Cricetulus griseus: one gene and its partner. The protein of the gene in region 2 purifies or fractionates together with the protein of the main gene of each other region. This does not show direct contact. Links are inferred from orthologs where the notes say so. Each region holds a gene or a part of one and is shown on either strand. Other genes may lie near its edges. The genes, in order: Ptpn6 and myeloid cell surface antigen CD33.

What was found.
Region 1: the proteins of myeloid cell surface antigen CD33 (region 2) and Ptpn6 purify together in Homo sapiens (co-immunoprecipitation; 4 studies listed by BioGRID and IntAct, with this or other methods). This does not show direct contact. The link is inferred for Cricetulus griseus from reciprocal best matches to the Homo sapiens genes CD33 and PTPN6.

The regions. Positions count from the first base shown.
Region 1 is NC_048601.1:21,684,245-21,688,014, reverse strand, and holds the end of Ptpn6 (tyrosine-protein phosphatase non-receptor type 6), read right to left. Parts: intron 2,314-3,770; coding exon 2,246-2,313; intron 2,151-2,245; coding exon 1,999-2,150; intron 1,904-1,998; coding exon 1,812-1,903; intron 1,265-1,811; coding exon 1,150-1,264; 3' UTR 1,122-1,149; intron 943-1,121; 3' UTR 747-942; downstream 1-746. UniProt on the Homo sapiens protein: Tyrosine phosphatase enzyme that plays important roles in controlling immune signaling pathways and fundamental physiological processes such as hematopoiesis.
Region 2 is NC_048596.1:141,868,114-141,872,511, forward strand, and holds the start of myeloid cell surface antigen CD33, read right to left. Parts: upstream 2,803-4,398; coding exon 2,358-2,802; intron 2,174-2,357; coding exon 1,895-2,173; intron 1-1,894. UniProt on the Homo sapiens protein: Sialic-acid-binding immunoglobulin-like lectin (Siglec) that plays a role in mediating cell-cell interactions and in maintaining immune cells in a resting state.

The DNA of each region.
Region 1 (3,770 bases), on a different chromosome or scaffold from region 2:
AGGCTGGGCTAGATCAGTCCCTCCTAAAAAATCTTCCTAGTTGTTGGATCTAGCAACCAACAGCAGGTTGTATGGCAAATCTTTCTGGGGTGGACCCTGCTGAGTCTGGACGATAATGAGAACATGGACTCTGAAGGCCAGTGGTCCTGGAATGTTGAACAAGTTAATTTGATCTCCCTGTGTCTCAGTTTTCTCCACTGTAAAAGCAGGAAAATAAAGAGTACCCAGACTGAGAGCCAGGAGTATAGCTCAGGGAGAGAGCTGTTCACTACCTGGCATGAGGGAGGGCCTGAGCGTTGTCCCCAGTACCACAAAAAAATAAATAAAACAGAAACTAAAGTACCTAGGATTAATTAATTCTATAGTCTTTTAAATAGTGCCTGGGCCCATTGCCAGTGTGGAATGTAGCAGTGGCCATTGTTATTGGCACTCGCCGTATTGCCGTATCTTCACTCATGAGCTAACGAGGGCAGATGAATCCAGACCACCCTCTGCTGTAGAGACTGGAGAACTTGCCAAGCACATAGGAGGCCTAGGTTCTATCCCCAGCATGAGTGAGAGAGGGAGAACACAGAGCAGTCTAACTAAGCCTTAGGAATGCCACAGGCTGCTGTGTGAAGCAGCATCCAGAACCAGGTCTCTCTGAGCCACAAAGTTGAGCTTCTATGCAATCACACATAACATCCCGGTCCCACCCTGCCCAGAGTCCCAGGATACATGGGACACACAGAGTTGGAGGCAACACACAGTGGTCCAGGGGCTTTATTTACAAGAATAGAAGTCTGGCTTTGCCTGAAGACTTGCTGGGCTATATACAGGTTCAGAGGACCACAGCCATTTAAATACATGAGGATGGGGTGGTCCTAAGGTCTGGTGTGTGGGGGCCACAGGTCTTGATCTGCCCAGTGGAGGCCTCTGCAGGGATTGAGGCTGATGCTGATGCTGCAGATAAAAGAGAAAAAGTGGGTCAGAGGGTATCTGGGGCCTGGAGAGAGGGCACGAGAAGATCTGGGGACATCCTGGCAGGGTAGCATTAGATTGTGACCTCCCCACAGCATGTCAGAACTGCTGTGGGAGCAACTGGGGCAGGGAGAGAGAAGACTACGCAGAAGGGGCCTCACCATGGCCACCTGCAGTCGAAGGCCCAGCTCACTTCCTCTTGAGGGACCCTTTGCTCTTCTCCTTATCTGCTGACCGCTGCTTCTTCACTTTCTCTTCCTTCTTGTTCTTGCTGTGCACGTTTTCATACACCTCCTCCTTGTGTCTGGGAGGTGAGGGAGGAGGGGAGAAGACATTCAGAGACTCTGCAGACCCTCCACACTCCCTCTCACTCAGTGAAGCCAGGAAAGCTTAGATAACCTGCTCACTGTCCATTCACTAGACCCAAAGCTCCCAGGACACAGACTACACTCACGCATGTGTCCACAGCTGGGCCATAGCATGGGCCCACACAGAGTAACAACGCACACTTCAGAAAATACTTAAGAGGGCTGGAGAGATGGCTCAGAGGTTAAGAGCACTGGCTGCTCTTCCAGAGGTCCTGAGTTCAATTCCCAGCAACCACATGGTGGCTCACTACCATCTGTAATGGGGTCTGATGCCCTCTTCTGGCCTGCAGATAGAGCACTAATATACATAAAATAAATAATTAAAAAAAAAAAAAGAAAATACTTAAGAACAGAGGTACTAGGAAGAAGGTTGACCTCGAACCAGGGTCTCTCCAACTTCCACACTGGTCCACTCCAGAAAGGACAGTTAAGGCTAGGCAGGAGAAGGGAGAAGATGTTGTGAGGGCAAGCAGGACCACTCACTTGGAAGAGGTACGGGAGGCCTTGGCGTGGGCACTCTTCATAGCGGGAGGGTAGGTGATATTCCCATACTCCGACTCCTGGCCCTTCCGGGACTGTGGGCAAAGGTGTGGTGGGAGGATGGTAGTACCAGCACGACTGGGTGATGCCCACTCTCCCCTACCACCCATCAGCCCCACTCTGCACACACTTGTATGATCTCCAGTTTCTTCTTGGTCGTTTCAATGAACTGGGCAATGGCCACATAAATGAACTTGTACTGTGCCTCTGTCTGCACCATGCCAGAGCGCTGTGCCCGTACCATCTGGATGGTCTTCTGGATGTCAATGTCACAGTCTAGCCCTGGACAAGGGTGGCAGTGGGACTTCAGGGTAGGCGAAGGTCAAGGGACTGCTTGCCCCTCCCCCACACCCACTCTCGTTCCCCAGGATCCTCACCCTTGGTGGAAATACTCTCCATGAGCATGTCAATGACAATGATGGTGCCTGTTCGGCCAATGCCAGCACTGCAGAGAGAAGGCACCGCCATCAGAGGCCCAGCTCTGCCCAGGAAATGGGGAGGCCAGGGGTTAACCCCAGCACTAGGTAAGGTGTGAAGAATCCAAAGCTCCAGCCACAAGGGTCGGTAATGTACCCAGGTCATTAGGCCAGCGAAGCAGGTGTATGCCCGTCTCTGCTCCCATTCCTCTGCCCCAGTCACAGGATGGACAAGCAGGTGCCAGTTTCCGGGCTAGAGATATCATTTCCCTCCTTCGCAGCATTTGTCCCCAACTTTCTGTTCCCACCCTTCACTCTTCCTAACTGACGGCTATCCTCATCCCTTGGAAAAACAGAACTCCACACCATGCCATTGTCCTGCCTGCTCCTCAGGGCATTCCAACCTTCAAGAGTTACATTCGGAGTGGGGCATTGGTGGTGCACACCTTTAATCCCAGCACTCGGGAGGCAGAAGCAGGTGGATCCACCGAGTTTGAGACCAACCTGGTCTACAGGGTGAGTTCCAGAACAGCCAAGGCTACAACAACACAGTGAAATCCTGTCTCAAAAAACAAAAAAAAGAGTTCCATTTGGAACTAGGCATGGTGGCATATGATTTTAATTCCTGCACTCAGGAGGCCAGCCCAGTCTACACAGAAAGACACAAACAAATTACATTTTGGATGAGTGTGGTGGCTCGGTGGCCATCATGCAAGCAAGCCTGAGAACCTGGTATCAGATCCCCAGTGTACACAAAAAGGCCAGGCACAGTGGCCATATAATCCCATTACTAGGAGGTTAGGTTAGCTCATTGGCCAGCCAGCCAAACTGAAGTGATAAGCTCCAGGTTCAGTGAGAGACCCTATCTCAAAAAATAATGTGGAGAGCCTGGTGTGTTAATGCCAGTACTGAGGATGCAGACAGAAGTTGACTGTGAGTTTGAGGCCTACTTGGTCTACCTAGCAAGCTCTAGGCCACTGAGCCACATAGAATGAGAGACACATACACTATAGACAGACAGACAGACAGACAGATACAAGTATAGATATATAGATAGGAGAGACCATATAAAAACACTAGGACCTCTGGCCTCCACAGAAATGCCCACACATGTACACACACCACACACAGACACACACACACATAGTTACATTTTACTTAGGGTATGCCTCGGTGGTAAAGCATGTGTTTCACATGCTTAAGAACCTGGGGTCCTATCCCTAGAAACACACACACACACACACACACACACACACACACACACACACACTATACACGGGGTGGGGGGGCATTTGTCCTTTCTTTTTTTTTTTTTTTTTTTTTTTGGTTTTTCGAGACAGGGTTTCTCTGGCTTTGGAGCCTATCCTGGCAGTCGCTCTGGAGACCAGGCTGGCCTCGAACTCACAGAGATCCTCTGTGAGTTCTCTGCCTCCCGAGTGCTGGGATTAAAGGCATGCGCCACCAACGCCCAGCTGTCCTTTCTCTC
Region 2 (4,398 bases):
TGAAGTCAAAGGAGGCTGTCAGATCCCCTAGAACTGGAGTTACAGACAGCTATGAACCACCATGTGGGTGATAGGAACTGAGCCCATGTGGTCTGAAAGAGAAGCCAATGCTCTCAACCACTGAGCCATCTCTCCAGCCTCCAGAAAAGAACTCTTACAGCTTGAAATTACAAAGAACTCAAATGCCTTTAATCTCAGCCCCTAGGACAGAGGCAGATTTCATATTTATCTCTATCTCTGTCTATGTCTCTATCTCTGTCTCTATTGCTCTCTCTCTCTCTCTCTCTCTCTCTCTCTCTCTCTCTCTCTCTCTCTCTCTCTCTCTGACTTGAGGCCAGCCTGGTAACATAGTGAGGCCCTTCCTCAAAAAAATAGAGTATGAAGGTCTGAAGGTCTGAACACTCCAGCTCATAACTGTTATAGGATTTTTAACTAGTACTTTTCAGAAAATAATGGCCAAGAAGAGACAAGGTTGCTCAATGGCCTGTGACTCACCTGGTTAACATCTAGCTAACAATCTGGTTAAGCCAGATTGAATGACCAGTGAGCCTGACGTCATCTCCCCAGCAGTGGAATTATAAGCACATGCCACAATACCAACTCCCTTCCTCCCTCTCTCCCTCTGTCCCTCCATTCCTCACTCCTTTCCCCCTTCTTCCCTCCCAGCTTCTGTATGTGTGTGTGTCTGAAATGTGGGTTTTGGGAATTGAACTCAGTTCCTGCAAGGCAAGCCCTTTACTCACTGAGCTATCTCCCTGTCCCTACATTTTCTTTGTCTTTATGTCTGGTCAAAGTGCATAAATAAGCAATACCAAACTTCTCCTGATATTGATGAATACGCAAAAGATTCCCAGGGACAGGGGGTGGGTCATTGCTCATCCTAGGATCAGTCCACAGGACCCAAATGAAAACAAACAAAAAGGGTTTGCTCCACCTGACTTGGTGGAAGTATACACTCTCCTAGCTCCCTGCTGGGAATGTTCTGCTGTTCGGCAGCCATGAAGAAACACTTGGTCATCATTCTTTGTATTAGAAAGACACCAGATCCAGATGCAATTTGTATTGGGGAATTAGTAATTCAGACAGATAGAAAGACTGACAGACAGATTGACAGACATACATACAAAACTACTCACCACACATTGCTTTTGGCAGAGTGATATCAATGAGATGGCTGCCCAATAGTATAAAATGTCCACAGAACTGGATCCAACCAGTGTGAACCAGAGTCATGGAGAACAGAAACCATTAGGCTACTGATATCCTGAGTCCTCTCAGGCTACATGTGGACAAACAATAGATTAGCACTGTGTGTACTCATTGGTCTGTCCTGAGAAGGGGACTAACTTCTGTGAATGTTTACCCATAACGCTGTGTCTCCTGCATGCACCATAAGATCCAAGCTGACATACACAAGTGTTAGAGTGTGTGATTCTGTTTTGTGAATGCTGGCCTATCCCTGTAATGACCCTAGAGTGCCCCAGAAGCCCAAAAGGATCAAGGAATAGGTGGGGACAGGTGCTGTGACACTTGAATGTACTGTGGATGAGAAAGGTCATTAGTTTTCTAAGAAGGGGGTTTTTGAGTTCAGGATAAGGAAGGACGAACCTTGCTCTAAGCTACAGAGATCCTGTTCCTGCAACACAAGATGACTCCCCCTACCTGGGCCAGCTCCTCTAGTGGCGTGGGTTGCGGTATTCTGTGCAGTATCTTGGAAAAACAAAAACAGAAAACAAAACAAAAAACTTGACATCTCAGGTTTCAGCACCATTCCCCACAACTGTCCAGAAAGCGTAGAATTCGAGAGGTATGGGGACTGTGTCTATCTTAGTCCCCAATCCAACTATGATCCATCACACAGTCACCATGAACCCCAGCACTGGGTTGAACTCACAGGTGACATTGATCTGGACAGCCTTTTGAACAGTTACACCAGCTCCAGGGAAGGTCACTTGACAGACGAGGTTAGTGCCATGGTCCTGTAGCCTAGGTGTGAGGGTCAGAACTGAAGAAAGGGTGGTCCTAGGGCCCAGGGATGTGAGGGCAGCTGACATCCAGGAAAAGATGGGAGGTGTCCCCTTTTCACAGGCCCAGGGCACAGAACATGTCACGTTGCTAGGATGGCCAAGCTCCAGAGTCTGTGGGATGTCGATGTTGGGGGTGTGATTGAGGGCTGGTGAGGAGAAAAAGATGCAGGATCAGGACAGGGGAGAAGTACAGCCACTGAGAAGCCCAGGTTTGGATCCAGCTCCTCCATTACCCTACTCCATCCCCAGTGACTCTCAGGCTATGACCCCAGCCCTGCTTTGTGGCATCCATGAGCTTCCTCTGTGGTCAACATGGAACCAGTACTTTACCTGTCACATTCAGAAAGAGCTGATCTTTGTAGTAATTCCACTTAAAGGTATCACTTTCCGTTCTGAAGAAGTAATAACCGCTGTCACTCCTCTGTGCATCTCTGATGTCCAGTGAGCAGTCATTGATCCTTGGGTCCCCAAAGAGATGGAATTGGCTGTGAGTCTCCTGCATTGTTTTGTCTGGGTTGTTTGTAGCCACTGGAAAATCAAGGTCTGTATTCGATCCTGCACGGAACCAGTAGCCGAAGACGGTGGTGTTAAAACTTGGGTTCTTGAAAAGACTAAAGAATGTGCAGGGCACGAAGACACACAGACCCTCCTGCACTGTCACAAGTGTGGACTGCAATTCCACCTTGAATGTCTCATACATAAACATGGACTCTGCATGGAGAAGAAAGTAGTTTTCAGATGCCCACCCACACACCCAGAGCAGTAGCAACAGCATCCCTGCCCAAGGCCTGGGCTCCTGTGAGTGAGCAAAGAGAGGACTCCAGCAGGCAAAGCTTTATAGGAACTGGGAAAGCTGCAGAGAATCAAGAGCTTTCAACTCACAGAAGAGGAACCAAGGACTGCAGGTGGCCTGAGTCTTCCTGTCTGCAGAGAACATAGGAAAACCCAGCAACCAGATGTCAAAGAGACCTGAGCGACCCAGGCAGAGAGGAACAGAGAAGGAGGACTGTGAAGATAGCTCAGTCTGCAAAGTGTTGATTGAACAAACACAAGGACCTAAATTCAGATTCACAGCACGTACAAAAATATGGGCATGACAGTGCATGTCCGTAAATCCCAGTGTTGGGGAGGAAGAGACAGGAGGATCCCTAGAGTTTGTCAACCAGCCATTCTACCTGACTTTGTTATCTCCAGATTCAGTGAGAGACTCTCAAAAAACGAGGTTTAGAAACTGGAGAGATGCCTCAGTGGTTTAAAGCACTTATTGCTCTTGCAGTAGACCCATGTTCAATTCCCAGGACCAATTTGGTGTCCCACAGCCATCCACAACTCCAAGGAATTTGACATCCTCTTCTGACCTGCACTAGGCATGCAGGTGGTGCATACATATACATCCAGGCAAAACACGCATAAACATAAAATAAAATAATAAATCTTCAAAAAAATTGATGAGGCAGAGAATAGTTGAGGAGGACACCTGACATATGCACACACATGCACACAGGAAGGAAGGAAGGAAGGAAAAAGGATGGATGGAGAGAGAGAGAGAGGGAGGGAGGAAGGAAGTAAAGAAGTAAGGAAAAAAGGGAGAGAGGGCACTAGGGAGGGAAGGAAGGAGGGAATAAAGGAAGGAAGGGAGGAGTAGAGAAGGTTAGAGAGCAAGTTGTGAGGGACTTCCCTACAGCACCGGGGTTGATCCAGACAGAGGGGTGACTCTAAGACCTTTCCTTAGTCTAAGGCCTCTCCTTAGGAGGAAGATCTCAGATGAAATGAAGCCAGACTCTGTTGAGTTTGCCCACTCATTTTTCCAGGAAGTATACAGTGAGCTTTGGACTTTGCAGAACTAGACACAAGAAGGGAAACTTGTGTCTACCCCCCCACCCCACCCCAGCGCCACCTGCCTTGCAGGAGTCTCAGCCTCTCCATACACTGGTGCTGCTGTCTTCAAAGCTGCTGGCACTGGCGAGCTCTCCACCTGCCATGGAGGTATATATTTGTAAAGCATGAACTGGGAATTGTTTCTCTCAAATCTAATGGACTAATTCCCAAGGTGCCAATGACAGTAGCACCGTCAACGTGACACAATAAGAGAACATGAGTTCTCAACAGTACAGGATAAACAGCTTCTCATGGTGTGGTGTGGTGTGGTGTGGTGTGGATAACAGCCACGGCTAAGTCCTCACCTTGAACATCAGCACTTGCTTCAAATCTCAGATCTGTATCTCCCAGTTAGATGTCCATCAGAAGGCACTGCAGTGTCAGATAGAATAAGCGGATTGTTAGAAAAGATTCAATTTTTGGTTCAATTCCTATGGTTTCCTGTGTCATAGAATCTAATGTTACCAATATATATATTTTTTAGAAATTTATT